3 linked regions of the Drosophila melanogaster genome follow. The protein of the gene in region 1 purifies or fractionates together with the protein of each later gene. This does not show direct contact. Each region holds a gene or a part of one and is shown in the gene's direction. Other genes may lie near its edges. The genes, in order: Rme-8, koko and Slh.

Evidence for each region.
Region 2: the proteins of Rme-8 (region 1) and koko purify together in Drosophila melanogaster (affinity purification with mass spectrometry, with the first as the bait; one large-scale study listed by BioGRID). This does not show direct contact.
Region 3: the proteins of Rme-8 (region 1) and Slh purify together in Drosophila melanogaster (affinity purification with mass spectrometry, with the first as the bait; one large-scale study listed by BioGRID). This does not show direct contact.

The regions. Positions count from the first base shown.
Region 1 is NT_033778.4:9,174,259-9,179,148, reverse strand, and holds the start of Rme-8 (receptor mediated endocytosis 8), read left to right. Parts: upstream 1-1,887; 5' UTR 1,888-2,007; intron 2,008-2,316; 5' UTR 2,317-2,369; coding exon 2,370-2,561; intron 2,562-2,615; coding exon 2,616-2,756; intron 2,757-2,913; coding exon 2,914-3,058; intron 3,059-3,214; coding exon 3,215-3,416; intron 3,417-3,477; coding exon 3,478-3,982; intron 3,983-4,039; coding exon 4,040-4,218; intron 4,219-4,273; coding exon 4,274-4,481; intron 4,482-4,538; coding exon 4,539-4,890. Other genes in the region: Rab32, read left to right, coding at 1-319, 400-543, 605-715.
Region 2 is NT_033777.3:18,401,052-18,405,247, forward strand, and holds koko (kokopelli), read left to right. Parts: upstream 1-1,974; 5' UTR 1,975-2,015; intron 2,016-2,171; exon of another isoform or gene 2,172-2,468; 5' UTR 2,469-2,488; coding exon 2,489-2,571; intron 2,572-2,637; coding exon 2,638-2,782; intron 2,783-2,842; coding exon 2,843-3,394; 3' UTR 3,395-3,675; downstream 3,676-4,196. Other genes in the region: Wdr37 (WD repeat domain 37), read right to left, coding at 1-523, 581-1,142, 1,263-1,416; CG7685 (uncharacterized protein), read left to right, coding at 3,992-4,108, 4,169-4,196.
Region 3 is NT_033779.5:2,487,688-2,494,754, reverse strand, and holds Slh (SLY-1 homologous), read left to right. Parts: upstream 1-2,083; 5' UTR 2,084-2,234; coding exon 2,235-2,262; intron 2,263-2,336; coding exon 2,337-2,496; intron 2,497-2,553; coding exon 2,554-3,242; intron 3,243-3,312; coding exon 3,313-4,022; intron 4,023-4,076; coding exon 4,077-4,409; 3' UTR 4,410-6,558; downstream 6,559-7,067. Other genes in the region: oaf (out at first), read right to left, coding at 1,459-1,725. UniProt on the Drosophila melanogaster protein: Non-vital for development.

The DNA.
Region 1 (4,890 bases):
GACGTCCTTCATTAAGCGCTATGTGCACCAGTTCTTCAGCCAGAACTACAGGGCCACCATCGGCGTGGACTTCGCCCTGAAAGTGCTGCAGTGGGACGCCAATACGATAGTGCGCCTCCAGCTGTGGGATATCGCCGGTCAGGAGAGGTTTGGCAACATGACCCGTGTCTACTACAAGGAGGCGGTGGGCGCGTTCATCGTTTTTGATGTGACTCGCAGTGGGACTTTCGATTGCGTGAGCAAGTGGAAGGAAGATCTAGACTCCAAGGTGCAGCTGCCGGACGGCAGTCCCATTCCGTGCATCCTGCTGGCCAATAAAGTAAGTGATTGCCTAAAGGTTAAAGGAGACCGCATAATTTCTATATTATGTGATTAATACGTTGCTCATCCGTTTTCCAGTGCGACCAGGAAAAGCAGGGCATCATAACGCAGCCCGAGAAGATGGATGAGTATGTGAGGGAGAACGGATTTGCCGGTTGGTTTGAGACATCCGCCAAGGAGAATATCAACATCGATGAGGCAGCTCGTGCCCTCGTGAATAAGGTGATAATCGCTGCTAATGCCCAGCCAAAGCCCCGCTAATCTTCTTCCACTCGCCCGACAGATACTCATCAACGATAAGCTGATATCTGCCGATCTGGCCGATGGCGACAAGTTCAACTTGAGCGCGGCCGATGCAACCGGATCGGATGCCAAGAACAAGTGTTCCTGCTGACCTGGGACCGAGGTCCGGCGACTCCTATTCCCATTCCCAGTTTAAGAGCGAGTTTCAACACAGAAACGCCATGTGCCTACGTCCACTCCATGTTCATGTTGTTAGAAGATAGCGATAACTATGCTTAGGGTTTTAACGTAACATTTGTCTAAGACTTAGTGTCATCCGTATCATCCCGTCCGTCTTTATCTTTAACACCCCGTCTGTGGGTCCACAATGTTGCGCCGGCATCGGGATCCGTGTCACTTTGAGAATTTATATGGTGACACATAACATACCTACGCATACGAAACATTATTACTATCACCATCATTGCCCTAGTTGCGAGGATTAGCCGGAGGTAGTGCAGCATCCGTATCATAGCATACTACATTTGTGTAAAATGCGAATCGTCTTATTGTTTTGTTTGTTTTATTTGCCTCTGCTGGCGAGATTGTTTTATCTTGGAATTATTATTCTCGTATGCAAACACACTCTGCCATCATTATTTGTATTTAGATAACAATACGTACGCTTAATGCAATGCGAAATCAGAAATAAAGTTTTTAATGGTAGTTAAGTTCAGACGACGTGTTTTATTGGCTGAATAAATTCTGTGTAAGTGCTTTTGTGATACAATGAAAATGTTATGCTACTAGTATTTGCCTTCATTGAATCACTGGTCTTTGTAAATAAATACGAATAAAAGCTTTGTTTTTACATTTCCTTTTTTAACGGTAAAAAATCGTATCCCCAACCGGCAATGTTTTTCTTTTTTTTTAATATTCAAACTATCGATAGTTATCAACTATGGTATTCCTTATTGTTTAGTGATCACATATTAAACTTAAAAATAATGATATACAGATAAAAGTGTCGTGCGTTCATATTCTACATAAAATTATTAGCAATTATTTAATCGTTATGAAAAGCGAAACGTATAAACTGGTAATTGGTATGGGAAAAATTGGGAAAAAGCTGGAATCAGGTTTAATTGCAATTTGGTTTTATAAAATGTTTTATGGCACAAACAAACATCCTGACTCAAAAGTGAATTAAGCTTGAAACTTAAATACTCCGAGAATACCGTGAATATGCGTTTACCAATTGCTGCTGAACGGGACCACTATCGATAGAACCTTACAAACTATCGAATCGCTGCAAGACTATTGCCATCGATACTTGCACCTCTATTTATTAGTGTTGTGTAGCCGTGTTACTGCTAAATTGTTTATTGCAAAAATTCCGCAAACGAGAGATATTAGGAATAGAAGACAATATAACAATTGGGCAAAATGTGTTAGATGTTTAAGGTAAGCCACCGCCAGGGCTGCAGCTCGGCGGAGCCGTATCCAACGGTCCGCGCTCTGGGGGCCGCAGCATTCCGCACTCGTCACGTTTACTCCCCTTTTCTGGTCTTTGTTGGGGCTCCGTTGGCACTTCTGCTGATAAGTGCCCAAGTCGACTTAATTAATCAGTGCCCTGGAGTCGGGGGCAAGTCAATTGGATATTTGGAAACCGCTGGGAACGTGAACCAGCTGCGCGCCCGAAAGACCAGTCATGAATTGCCGCGGCTCTGATTTGACTCCCGTTCCCACACTCCATATCTCACTCACTTTCAGTTGCTGACTAATACTGGGTGGAAGGTAATCAGTTGGAATCGTCACAAGAAACGATGCTGCCGCCTAAGGAAAACGTCGATCTGGAGTGCTTCCTGGTGACCAAGCACTCCTGGAAGGGCAGGTATAAGCGCATCCTCTCCATCGGCACGGCCGGCATATCCACCTACAATCCGGACAAGCTTGACCTGACTAACAGGTGGTCCTATTCGGACATCGTAGCAGCAGCACCCTCAAAGACCACAAATGTGAGTTTATAAGATCCTACGGAGAGCTCGGAACTAAATAAATTGATCTTTCAGATACCCCATGACTTCGTGATTACCATCAAAAAGGATAAGAAACTAGATACAATCAAGTTATCGTCGGAATATCGGAACGATATCCTAAGCTCTATATTAAAGTACTACAAAGAGTTTGCGGACAAGCCGAAAAATGCTCAGGTTGGTTTTTGAGTCTCGCTTTAAATCCTATACTAATTTGGAAACACTTCTCCAACATTTCATGTGTGATTCAGATGTTTCTAATTAACATTTAAATATGCAATATGAATTCTAATCTGTCAAAATTTTAATTTTGAATACTATCTAAATTTTGTAGCGCTTTAGTGCTTACAAATACCACTGGTCGGGCATCAGTCTTCCCACAGTACTGGAGGTCACGCCCTGTTCTCTGGACCAGCTCGATCCCACCACCAACGACGTGCTGGCCAGCTATATGTACAAGGATATCGAGGGAATAATAGGTAGCTATGCACATTCGACTCGCTTGCATCAATTAATGTGTCTTGTTTTGTCCTCATGTGCCTCAATTACAATTCAATATGATCGCTCCGTGTTTTGTTCTTTTTTTTATTTTTGGTTACTTGCCGCACTCATCTTTCTTCCGCACACGTTTTAAGCAGGCATCTCGGACTATGAGGGAGGAATCGTGATGGCCTACGGCGGATTCAGTCGCCTCCATTTGTTTAAGGCGCTGAATCACCACGAAATCGTGCAGAACATAGCACAGAGATCGGCTCAGTTTCTGGGCATCGAAACCAAAATACTCAAGAGTCAGATCACTCTGGAGCAGTTCGAGAGGCAGCGGTTCGGCAAGTTTAGGTAAGTTCATGTGAAACGCAATAAAGAATTTGTAGAAAAAAAAAGCCATATAATATTTCAGTGGTGACCAGTTTCAAACCTCGTCGACCGAATTCTCGGTTCATAAGATAACGCCCCGCCATCCGGATCCGGTGAAGCGTATACTCTGCCTCACCGAGGTAACGCTGCTGGAGCGGGATCCTCAAACCTACAGCGTCTGCACCCTGCGTCCGCTCACTGATGTGTTTGCCTTAGTTAGAGACAAGGACAATCTTCAGCGCTTCAGCATCGAGTACAAGAATGGAATCGTGCGCAACTACAGCACCAACGACCGCGACTCATTGTTGGCCACTGTTCTGGATGCTGTCCGCTCCAGTGGCAATCAGGATGTGCACGTCCGCATTGGCAACACGCCGCGAGGGAAACGGTATGTGCCATTGAACAGCTCGGTGGACGAGGAGACGGAGGCGAATTTGATGCGCCTGGTTATCAACAATTTTCAAAACCCCTCTAAGCGGTATGAGATCTTGGAGCGCTTTAATGCCAATGTGCCTCACAGTGGCCTCAACTACAGTGTAACTCAGGATGTAGGTTAACCTAATGCTCGGATTCCGGTTCAACCTAACTAATGTTTCGTTTCACAGAGCTTGTTTGCTGAAAACAAAGATAAACTTATCCTGAGTGCCCTGCAAGCGTTGGCTCAAAAGGAGCTGGACAGCCCTACGGCCCAGCTGAGCAACTTGGAGCTGGAGGCTATCTTTCACGCTCTTACTCGTCTTCTCGCTAGCAAAGTTGGATACGCAGCCTTTACGAATCTCCCGGGGTAATATATTCTAGTTTCGTACTAATAGCATTGTTAATGTTTGAATACATTTCAGCTTTCGTGAGATTATCGGTACAAAGGTGGTGGCTGCTTTAAGACGCAAGGATTTGGCTGTGACATACTCCGCCATTGACATGATTAACTCGCTAATGCATTCTGTGAATTCTGACCATGATTTAAAACAGGAGCAACTTAACAAGTCATCCATTCTGTCATCAAAATCGTTTCTGGAAACTTTGCTCAACATGTGGACAACCCATGTGGTAATGTAACCATTCTAGAGTGCGGTCAATTCGTTTTGTAACTATTTATGATTTCAGAGCCATGGCAGTGGTGCTCTGGTACTCTCAGCCATGCTGGACTTCATGACCTTTGCCTTGTGTGTGCCTTACAGCGAGACCACTGACGGCAAGCAGTTCGATACTCTGCTGGAGCTGGTTGCCGATCGTGGACGCTATTTGTACAAACTGTTCCAGCATCCCTCGCTGGCGATCGTGAAGGGAGCTGGATTGGTGCTGCGGGCCATTATTGAAGAAGGCGAGCTGCAAGTGGCTCAGCAAATGCAAGCATTGGCTTTGGATGAGGCTGCGCTGTGCCGCCACTTACTGGTGGCACTGTATACGCCCTCCAATGATCCCACACAGACCACGCAACGTCAGTTGTCGCGGCATT
Region 2 (4,196 bases), on another chromosome or scaffold:
GGAGACCGCCAAACGATTGACCGAGGAATCCGTTCGAATGGTGGCCAAGGCGGATCGCATGTTGCGCAGCTCCCAGACCTTGATTGTACGATCATCTGATCCGGACACCACCTTGTCGTCGCGTGCGAACACACTGGACGTAACCGTTTCCGTGTGCCCTTGGAAGACGGAGACCGCTGGGATTGCCTCTCGGAAGTCCCATAGACGGAACGTAGTGTCCCTGGAAGCGGTGACCACCAGGCGCTGGGTGGGATGTGCCGACACGTGGGTGAGCTCGTGGTCGTGCCCAGTGAGCGGCTGCAGTGGCAGGCCAGTCTCCACGTCCCACAGGATGGCAGTCCGATCCCAGCTGCCCGTGATGATTTGATCCATCGAAGAGAGCCAATCGGCGGCCACCACGACTGAAAGATGACCGCCGGGGCCTGTGAACTCGCAGAGCGGAGTGCGTAAGGTGTCCACACGATCGCGATCTTCCACCTGCTCATCACTGTCGTCCAGTTCCTCCTCTGAAGAATGGCCCTTCCTGAAAATCATGCAACGATTATTGAACTACTATAAAATATATTGCAAAGTTACTCACTTGGGCACTTCCCAGTTGACGGCCGCCTGCCAGATGTGGGCAGTACCATCCCCGCTGCCGGTGAGCACAAGATCTCGCTGCTGATGGAACTTGATGGAGTTTACGGAGCCGGCGTGCCCTTGGTACTGCAAAAGGCACCTGGCGCTCTCCACGCCCCAGATGCAGGCCGTATGATCGGCGGAGGCGGTGCCAATGATGGGTTGTCCCGCCTTGGCGGCAACCTGCCAGATGCCATCCTTGTGGCCGCCGAATTCTCGGACCACCGTGCTGACCACTGTGGGCGCCTTAAAGCTGGACACAATGCGGCTGGTTTGGGCCTTGATCTTGTTGCTGGCCTTGGCTTTGCTGCCGCCGGTAGCGCTGCTTAGTTTGGCCTTCAAGCTCTTGTGTGTACTGGATGCTGCAGCCAGGAAGCTGCCCGCCACCTCATCCGTCTGGGTTGCAGGCGTGGCCAAAGCTGCGGATGAGGCCTGAGTGCTCATTGAACCTCCTGCTGCGGATCTGGCATCGGGTGGAATCAATGACTCCTTGGTGGTGGTGGCTATGTCTAGCTTCTCCTGCACTATAACAGAGAATAGGCTTTAATCATGCGTGCACTATACAAAATTTGACATATGTAAGCAATAAATATTAAAGTTTATGAACGAGACCTTAAGGAGTTGTGGATTATATAGCTACTTACGGGCCTGGTTCTCCAGATACAGCTGCTCGAACTCCCGCTCGATCTGGGCGAAGAGGACGTGCAGGCGTGCACGGAATGGTGCATCTTCCGGTACGGCGGCCACGTCCTCCGTCAAACTGGTGAGGCGCACAGCCCGTGTCTTGCTAGCCTTCATGCTTTTCTTTTCGCCTCTTTGTTGTGTATCTCGCAAGTGATTTTCTGAGCCGAGCTGGTCGGCGATATCCGTTTCCTGGTGGGCAGAGCGCCCGGGGGAATCCAATTAGTGTTCAGGGGTTGCAGACTCGCGCTCTATTGATCCATCTTCCGCTGCTGGCGATGCATTTGCCTCTTTGGCTGACTGGGGAACTGCTGTTGCACTTGGTTTTCGCAATGATAATATACTTATTGCAGGTGTTTTTGTGCGCGGGGGGAGCGGGCGGAACAGCTGGTGTGTGTATCGAGTGTTATCGATGTGCGATTATCGCACAGTCGGACTGTGGCACACTGAGAGCAAATTGAACAAATTAAAATAAAATAATTTTGAAATTGCAGTTTACATATTAAATATATTTATATCATAAAAACGAAAAATCCTGTAAAAATTAACTGAAAATTCATTATATGTTATGAATTAGTTTAGAAAAATTTTCAACAAAAACACATCTATAAAAATGTACAATTAACAAAGTTTTTTTTTTAGTGCACTTTGGTTTGAGTACTAGTGTTGAGAAACAATTAGTTAATTTTGCTGACTTTCAAATCTGACACGTGAAGGTAAATAAATTCAAATAGAAATGTAACTATGGATCAGCGCTTTCCTGTAATTATTTATTAGGGTTGATTATCTTGTATAACCCTTTGAAACGGAAGCATTATCCTTAATCAACACTGTGTACTTGAACAGCTGTTTGGCCCGTAGTTGTAGGTACTATTTTTGAAAACACCATTGGGAGTTCCCACAAGACAAACAAATCCGTGCACCGTTGTATTGGATTCCAATCGAACAGCTGACATACCTTCGGGCCCGTTAGTTTTCCCGATCGCCCTGCATATGATACCATATCTCCCATTACAGCGCTGCAGCCCAATCAAACCGGTTTGTCGCCTTTCGACTTTTCGGTGGTCTCAGTTCACATCCATTTCCCCAACCAGTCCAATTGCTTTTATCTTGCTCCTCGAGTGTTAACGAAATTGCTTAAATCCACCCACATTCATCCTTTCATTCAGTTCGGCCTGGGAGTAGCAGCATGAAAAACGTTTTGGATGTCATGTCGATGCAGCAGCACGTGGAGTTGAACAAGGCGCAGACCATGAAGCCCATCGACTATCGGTAAGTTGAATGATCCAATCTAAAGATACCACCAATATATACATATCTGTGCCATCTGTGCCGCAGCAAAATGAACAAACCCGGCGTGGTGCCGATGTACATCTTTGAGTGCGCTGCCAAGTTGAAAATGAAACCGCTGACGGCGGCCTGTGCGGCCATAGTGTTCCATCGCTTCTTCCGCGAGGTCAAGGCCAGCGACTACGATGAGTTCGTGAGTAATATATGCCCCCAAAACGACCCCATCTCATGAGAAACTTTCTGGAATCCACAGCTCATTGCCGCGGGCTCGCTGTACTTGGCTGGCAAAATTAAGGAAGACGAAAGTGTCAAGATACGCGATGTCATCAACGTGGCATACTGCACCCTTAACCGGGGCAATGATCCAGTCGACCTGAACGATGAGTACTGGTCGATGCGGGATGCCATTGTCCAGGCTGAGCTGCTCATCACGCGCACCCTGTGCTTCGATCTCAACATAGATCTGGCCCACAAGTACTTACTCCACTACATGAAGACCCTACAAGACTGGGTGGGCACTGAGGTGTGGAACTCGGTGCCCATTGCCAAGGCAGCCGCCTCGTATCTGCAAGACTTTCACCACAGCGCCAATATCCTCAAGTACAAGCCCACCCATGTGGCCATTGGGTGCCTGTCGCTGGCCCTCCAGACCTACGGCATCCAGGTGCCGCTAACCGACGAGTCCGACGAATCCGCCATGTGGTACAAGCCCTTGGTCAAGGACTTCACCCGAGAGAACCAGTGGGAGATCATCGAGAACGTGATCGAGGTCTACAAGAACGAGGGCTTCCTGAATGCCACCTAATCGCTGAGAGAGACTGCCAAAACCATTCCTTCTGCCATCTGAACTTATTTATTTTCCCCTCGCCACCTCATAAACCAATCTCAGATACTACTAGACGTACATATGCTCAAATGTCCAATGCATTTACATCATGCCCTTGCCAAAACAAATAAATTGACCGGTAATGAAATGCTTATGTGATCGACGGGCGAAAGTACATTTACCTATCAGCGAAGACGATAGATCTAAAGTTTACAACTTATTTATACACTGATTCAATAAACAATTGTTCTGTGAAAAATGATATTGTTAATGGGTCTTTGGAGTTGTGAAATGCTTTAAGATTCTGAGGAAAAGCAAAAAGGTGTTTGGCGCTTTTATTTCAATCAAATTCATTATACTTTTAAGCTGTTAAAAGTTTTACAAAAAAATATTACACTTTATCAAACAAATTTAAATAAATCGCTCTGTATTTGATTAAATTCCGGGATGGGTGGCAACCCTTAGCCCCAGCCCAGCAGTGTTGACTAACGCAGGCATGTACAAAAACAATGCTAGTTCGTAAACAAAACATATTTTTTATACATTACTTGGCCAGAGCGAAAAAACAAGGACAATATGCGTAAGACGTGGGTGAAGCGAGAGAATATATACTTCAAGCCCTTCTACAAGCAGAAGTCGAAGATGTTCCTGCTGCTGATCTTCCTGGTCGGAATTTCGTTCATCGCGTATCAGGTGAGAGTCTCGCAAGGATTTTCCTGTGCACGGTGTTTAATGTGTAAACAATAACGATAGGCCTTCTCGCTGAACCAGCTGCCCGGAG
Region 3 (7,067 bases), on another chromosome or scaffold:
TGCTTTGTTCTTGTTTCTGCTGGGTTTTCCGTGTGTTTGCACAAGGGCGCATGTAAACAAAGAATAGCCGAAAGAAGTGAGAAGAGAAGAGGAAGTATGGAGGAGCGAAGGAAGAGAGCCATCAGGACATTTTGGGGCCAGGGACAGAGCGCAGAGAACAATGAAGGATGTCACATGTAAACAAAGATGTACGAAAATACGCTGTGTGCAAGTGAAATAGGGAAAGAGAGAAAGAGAGAGGCTGCCTTCATTTCAAGCCCGGTGCTTTTTCGGCCAGCTAATCTAAAATTTATGGAAAAGCCGAAAGCAAAGTGTCAATATTGAGGCAGTCAAACAAACCCAACTAATATTAAAGTGGAAAAACGAAACGACAGGCAAGTGAAAGTTTCAATACTGGCATTGAACTGCACATATGTATATGTCGCATTACGGATGTATTCTGACCACTGTACGTGTCTGTCATATTATTACCATGGTTTGACCACTGTGCTTGCAAGACGCAGCTGCGCAATGAGTTCGGTATATTGAGAGGTCATTCTTAGAATTTGACTATCACGAAGAATATGACTGGCGTCAAAGTACCGTTACGAGTGAGGCGACGGCGTTGTCGCGCTGTCGCCTAGTTGGACTACACTAGCGTGTGTAAAGGATAGATCGATGCGTAGAAAATACGATCAGTTGCATACAGACGATCGCGCACGCCGGTTGGAATTCGCTTCACTCAACATGGGAGATCAGGCACAAGAAAATGTCAACGCTGCGACATATGCATGTACATACATATGTACATAATGGCGTTGCAAGCATATAGAATAGAGCTTTGTTTTATGGTCATCAGGCATCGATGGATTATCTGGCCTACTTAACGGTATACTAATTAGATATCGGCGAAGTACAAGCTCACAGAACATGTTTCCATTCGGAGAATCCTGTATTTTGCATAAATCAATAGGGGACATGATTTGTTGTGCACATGTGTGCTGCACGAATCAACGTGGGCTGTGTATGCGTGTGTGCAATCCTTTACATTTGCAACTTATTGGATGAACTGCGTGTTCTTAAGAACGAACTAAGCATTGTTTATGAAATACCGAATCCTTGCTAATTCTAAAAGCAATATATTGGCGTATTTTACAATATGACTAGGCAAATTTTAAATTTCAGATACATATACTTGTCATATTCTACTGTCATAGCTGTAATAACTGTCACTGAATTACTATCTTTTTAATATTTAATTTGTTGTTTTCGCAGATTTGTTTATTTGTCTTGAGCACCTCTCTTTCGCTCTCTCATTCTCCCGCGTTTTAAATTTGTTTTGTTTTGGCGCGCAAATTTTCGAAATGAGATGTTCGAAAATCAGATGGGCAGCGCTGCCAGCGTCGCTGTTTGTCGTTGTTGCGTTTTGCGTTGTTGGGATTTAAGTGTTTTAAACCATTTTTTTTTGCGATTTCGCACCTGATTTTGGACGTTAATGAGCAGCTGGGAGTGGGCGAATGCGTCCGCGTTCATCACTAAGTTGCACAGCAGGAACCACAGAAACGCGCGACTGTGCTTGAAAAAGTGATTTTTACTGACGACGCGACCGCAGCAATTGCCGTGCGCTGGTGTTCGAGTGCGGCTGAGTGCCTTAAGATGCGCCATTCGCCAGCGGACCTGCGCCTGCCTTGCCGCATTTGCGGCAGTTTCGATGCTCTGGTGTGGGTGCTCCTCCTTTAAGATCATTGCGATCCGACAACTTTTAAATAAAATCACAAGAAAGCACAACGAACCACTCGCGTCGACGAACGAAAAATAACTGGCAGAAAATGGTGAAACTGACTGAAACGTGACTTTTCGAAATCAGCTGACAGGTGTGACCGTGCGGTAATCCCAAAGGGTGCTGCCAACCTTCTCGAACAGGAGCCTACGAATTTCGATTGTAGAAAATATACCAACCCAATATAGCTGCATTACACTGGCACACATATCTATATCTATAGAATAAATAGACTACATTCATTTTCATTTAGTATTTAAATATTCATATTGGAATTTCCACTGCATACGTTCACACCAGCCGCACAGCTGATGCCTGTACTATGCACTAAAATTTCCCAAAACGCGTTGCCTCGCCGTCGCTTGTGACGTGTTGTTTTTTTGTAAAATATGTTTTTCAGCTGCTAAAACGGACATAGATTGTTGAAAATCCACTGAAACTAACTCAGAAGGACGGGCTAAAGACGGACTATATAATGCTGACCCTGCGGGAGCGCCAAATCAGTGAGAAACTATGAAAACAATGCCCCCATTGAAGGGAAAACCTAATTAATGGATTTTCATATTAATCATTGCAGATGCCATTAAGCAGATGCTTAATTTGAACTCGCAGCAGCCGAAAGCCCTAGCTGCCGAGCCCGTGTGGAAGATCCTTATCTACGATCGCGTTGGCCAGGACATCATATCGCCCATTATTTCCATCAAGGAGCTGCGCGAGTTGGGCGTGACGCTGCATGTGTAAGTTGTGCGAGATCCTCCAGGAATCCAGAAATTATAGCTTTGGTTAACCTCCAGGCAACTGCACTCGGATCGCGACTCCATTCCGGATGTGCCGGCTATATACTTCTGCCTGCCCACCGACGAGAATTTGGACAGGATTCAGCAGGACTTCTCGAGCGGACTGTACGACGTGTACCACCTGAACTTCCTAGCTCCCATAACGCGCAGCAAAATCGAGAATCTGGCCGCCGCAGCCCTGCATGCCGGCTGCGTGGCCAACATCCATCGCGTTTACGACCAGTATGTGAACTTCATCAGTCTGGAGGATGACTTCTTCATCCTAAAGCACCAGCAGAGCGATCAGCTTTCATACTACGCCATCAACCGGGCCAACACCCGCGATGAAGAGATGGAGGCCCTGATGGACTCCATTGTAGACTCGCTCTTCGCCCTGTTTGTGACCCTGGGCAATGTGCCCATCATCCGCTGTCCGCGGAACAGTGCCGCTGAAATGGTGGCACGCAAGCTGGAGAAGAAGCTGCGCGAGAACCTTTGGGATGCGCGTGCCAATTTGTTCCACATGGATGCCACGCAAGCCGGCGGCGGAGTGTTCAGCTTTCAGAGACCTGTGCTCCTGCTGCTGGACAGGAACATGGATTTAGCCACGCCGCTCCATCACACCTGGTCGTATCAGGCGCTTGTGCACGATGTACTGGACTTGGGACTGAATCTTGTCTACGTGGAGGACGAGACGGCTAGTGCGGGCAAGTAAAATTACTTTTATCAAGGCGCTGAATAACTGAGACTCACCAACTACGTTTTCCTATTCTTTAGGAGCCCGCAAAAAACCCAAGGCCTGTGACTTGGACCGCAACGACCGCTTCTGGATGACGCACAAGGGCAGTCCATTTCCCACGGTGGCCGAAGCCATCCAGGAGGAGCTGGAATCCTATCGGAACTCCGAGGAGGAGATCAAGCGCTTGAAGACATCGATGGGTATCGAGGGCGAGTCGGACATTGCATTCTCTTTGGTCAATGACACAACGGCCAGGCTCACCAATGCCGTCAATTCGCTGCCCCAACTGATGGAGAAGAAGCGACTGATCGACATGCACACCAAGATCGCCACTGCAATCCTGAACTTCATTAAGGCTCGACGACTGGATTCGTTTTTTGAGATCGAGGAGAAGGTCATGTCGAAGCAGACACTGGACAGACCGCTGCTGGACCTACTGCGAGATGGAGAGTTTGGTCAGGCGGAGGACAAGCTGCGCCTGTATATCATCTACTTTATCTGCGCCCAGCAGTTACCCGAATCGGAGCAGGAGCGGCTCAAGGAGGCGCTGCAGGCTGCCGGTTGTGACCTAACTGCCCTTGCGTACGTGCAACGATGGAAGGGAATCATGAACCGCTCGCCGAGCATTAGCCAAGCCACACAGTACGAGGGTGGCGGCACCAAGACTGTGTCCATGTTCACTAAACTCGTCTCACAGGGCAGCTCCTTCGTGATGGAGGGCGTCAAGAATCTGGTGGTCAAGCGACATGTGAGTTTCTCTTTCCAAATTCAAATTCAAGTTCTATATCAAAATTGTTTGCAGAATCTTCCGGTGACCAAGATCACCGAGCAGGTGATGGAGTGCCGCAGCAATGCGGAGACGGATGACTACCTTTATCTGGATCCAAAGCTGCTCAAAGGTGGCGAGGTCCTGCCCAAAAATCGTGCTCCATTCCAGGACGCCGTGGTGTTCATGGTCGGCGGAGGCAACTACATCGAGTACCAGAACCTGGTGGACTTCATCAAACAGAAGCAAACGTCCAATGTGCAACGGCGCATCATTTATGGCGCTTCCACGCTGACCAACGCGAGGCAGTTCCTCAAGGAGCTCTCCGCCCTGGGCGGCGAGATCCAGTCGCCGACGGCGACGAGTTAGGAGCGGCTGCTCCGATTCCATTGCTGCTGAGCGGAGTGGACCGGGTTTTGGTTGCATGTGCATGGGTGTCTGTGTGGCTTCTTTCGTTTACTTTAAGCATATCCAAAAATAAATTAAATGCCAGGCAAAAAAGAGAAGCAAGCGAACGCAACGGCAGAGCCAGAGCTCAGCACTCGGCAATTACTCCAACCTGACGCTTAATCCCCGAAGGACAACAAGCAAAAACATGCGTAGCCTCGTGTACAACAAGCCCAGGGAGCTGGTGCCAGAGCTGCTGGAATGGGAGCTTGGCGGCGGGCAGGGGTACTCGCATTCTAGGCACCCATTAACACCAACTTGGCAACGCTTTGATGGACAGCTGACAGACAACCAGTCAACGGCTGAGGCGATGATGGCCCAGCCATCCCGATGCCCGCTGCCTTCGGCGGCGGTGCCACAATTATGGGGCGACAACTATGCGCGGCACTTGGGGACAGGCGCAGAAGCTGGCAGGGACAGCACCCAGCAATTAGCACTATCCCTGGCCAACTATGAATGGATCGAGGCGAGGCAAGTCGCTGTCGATGGCATAGCCAGCGCACTGGAGCACTAGGCGCATTTTTTCGAAGCACTGCAGCTCTGATTGAATGTCGCTTCCTTGGGAGACGGGCAGGCAGCCTGGCAGCCAGGCAGGCCAAGTCCATCAAAGAAGAGCGTTAAATTATCCCTGAAAGCCCATCTTTGGTTTGAATTGGTGTTGCAAGAAAAGATGATGTAAATGAAAATTCTAACAAGTAGGAAAAAGAAGTGGCAGGAAAAGGAATGTTTTAAGAACCTTATTAACCGATACCAAATTATAGAAATCAATTGTAAAAACAACGATAGAGAATGTTTATAGAATTGATTCTACAGATTGGCCAATGTAGTAAAGTAATAAAATCTCTAAGATTTTCCTCAATTTAATGGCATTTGACCAGCGAAATGCTGAAATTTTCCCCATGAAATGAAAAAGCTCGAACTGAAAATATTTCCAATGACATTCAGGCCACTGTAGGAAGTTTCCCGAGATAAGCGGCAAACAAATACCACAAAAAATGAGTAAAATATGGTGGAGAAAAAAGCGATCCGTGGGCTAATTAACACTTTTGGTAAATCAGAATTGATGGCCCTGATGAAAGGCCGAAGAAGAGATGATGACGATGACGATGATTATTCATGGAGCGTTGAGTTTAAATATTGGTTTTGGTTGGGCAGCCGGGCAGGGGTTGGGTTACTATCCAGACTACCCGTGGCCACAATTTAAATGTTAACATAAACAAGAGCAATTTAACAAAAGCCCAAGACCCAAAAAAAAATCCAAGAGACTCGAAAAAAAAAATAAATAAATAAAAGTACAGGGGAAACGAAAAGTCGAACTCCCAGCCAGAAACTGGTAACCCAAAGTGATTTCACGGGTGGTCCGAAAAGATGCGGCTCAAACAAATCATAAGGAAAAAATGAGAGGGAAAAACGACTACAGAAACTAACAACGAGAACGCAACATGAAAGAAATTCTTAACTTGCCACATGCATGAATCGATTATGTGGTAAATGCAACTGTCGCTGTATGCGTGAGTATCTGTGTGGTGTGGATCTCGTAGCCAGCGCAGCTCCTCCGCCGTCGAGACCCAAAAATCGAGAAAAAAAATAAAATGGTCAGGCAGCCGTTTCCCACATTCCTGCTGTGAATCATAATGGCTGCCGCTGTCGTCGTCTTGCTGGATGATTCTGCCGGATCCGACCGACCCGCCCGATCCGCTCGCTCAGCGCCCCAGCCGCCCAATCTCCGCCAGCACACCGACACACACTCGCCGACATCCCATACATATATCATAATCTTAACAACTCTTAACAAGGCAGAACAAATTCCAAAATTCGAGGAGCCCGACTCGAACAGCCAGTCAGGCAGTCGGACGATCCCACAAAATGAAGTGCCAGCCAGACAGAGAAGGCGATCTTCAGACACAGCTTCAGCTTTAGCTTTGGGTTGGGATCTTTAGACCCAATGAATGGACTCGAAGTGGAGAGTCTGCTGAGATCTGGTCAGATATGTGGGTTCATATGGGAGGGCATAACCCTTGTGGTTTTGATGGTTTTTATAAGCGCAATATAAGTTTTTCCCACTCTTATTAAACATCAATGTTTGATATTGTACACAAGCAAAAAATAAATATATATACATATGATCCAAAAAAATAAATATAAATAAATGTATTTGCAACCTATGAACTGTTTTGGATATGCTTTAGTAGTATATACATACATCTATAGTTTACTTCAGCTGGAACTCCCTAACACATGTCCATCAACTTTACATTCTAATTTTGTTTGATCTGCGCCAGACCTGTGGACTCCCACAGTTGGACCCTTGTGTTATCCTTGTCAGCATTTTGTTGGAATATCCCATTGTTGTTCCCAGCCGGGATGGTGCTACCACAAACATTTTCTGGGCATCGCCGCCCTCGGTGGTCCGCTTTTGGAGATCGGGAGCGGCATGTTAATTAATCAGCCAAATAATAATACAGCACCCATCGGCGGAGAAGAAACGAGCCGAAGCGCAGAGGTAGAGGTTCCAAATATTTGCCGGCAATAAAAGAGCAGCGCGGATGGATGGATCATCCTGCGAGGAGTAGGAGTTGG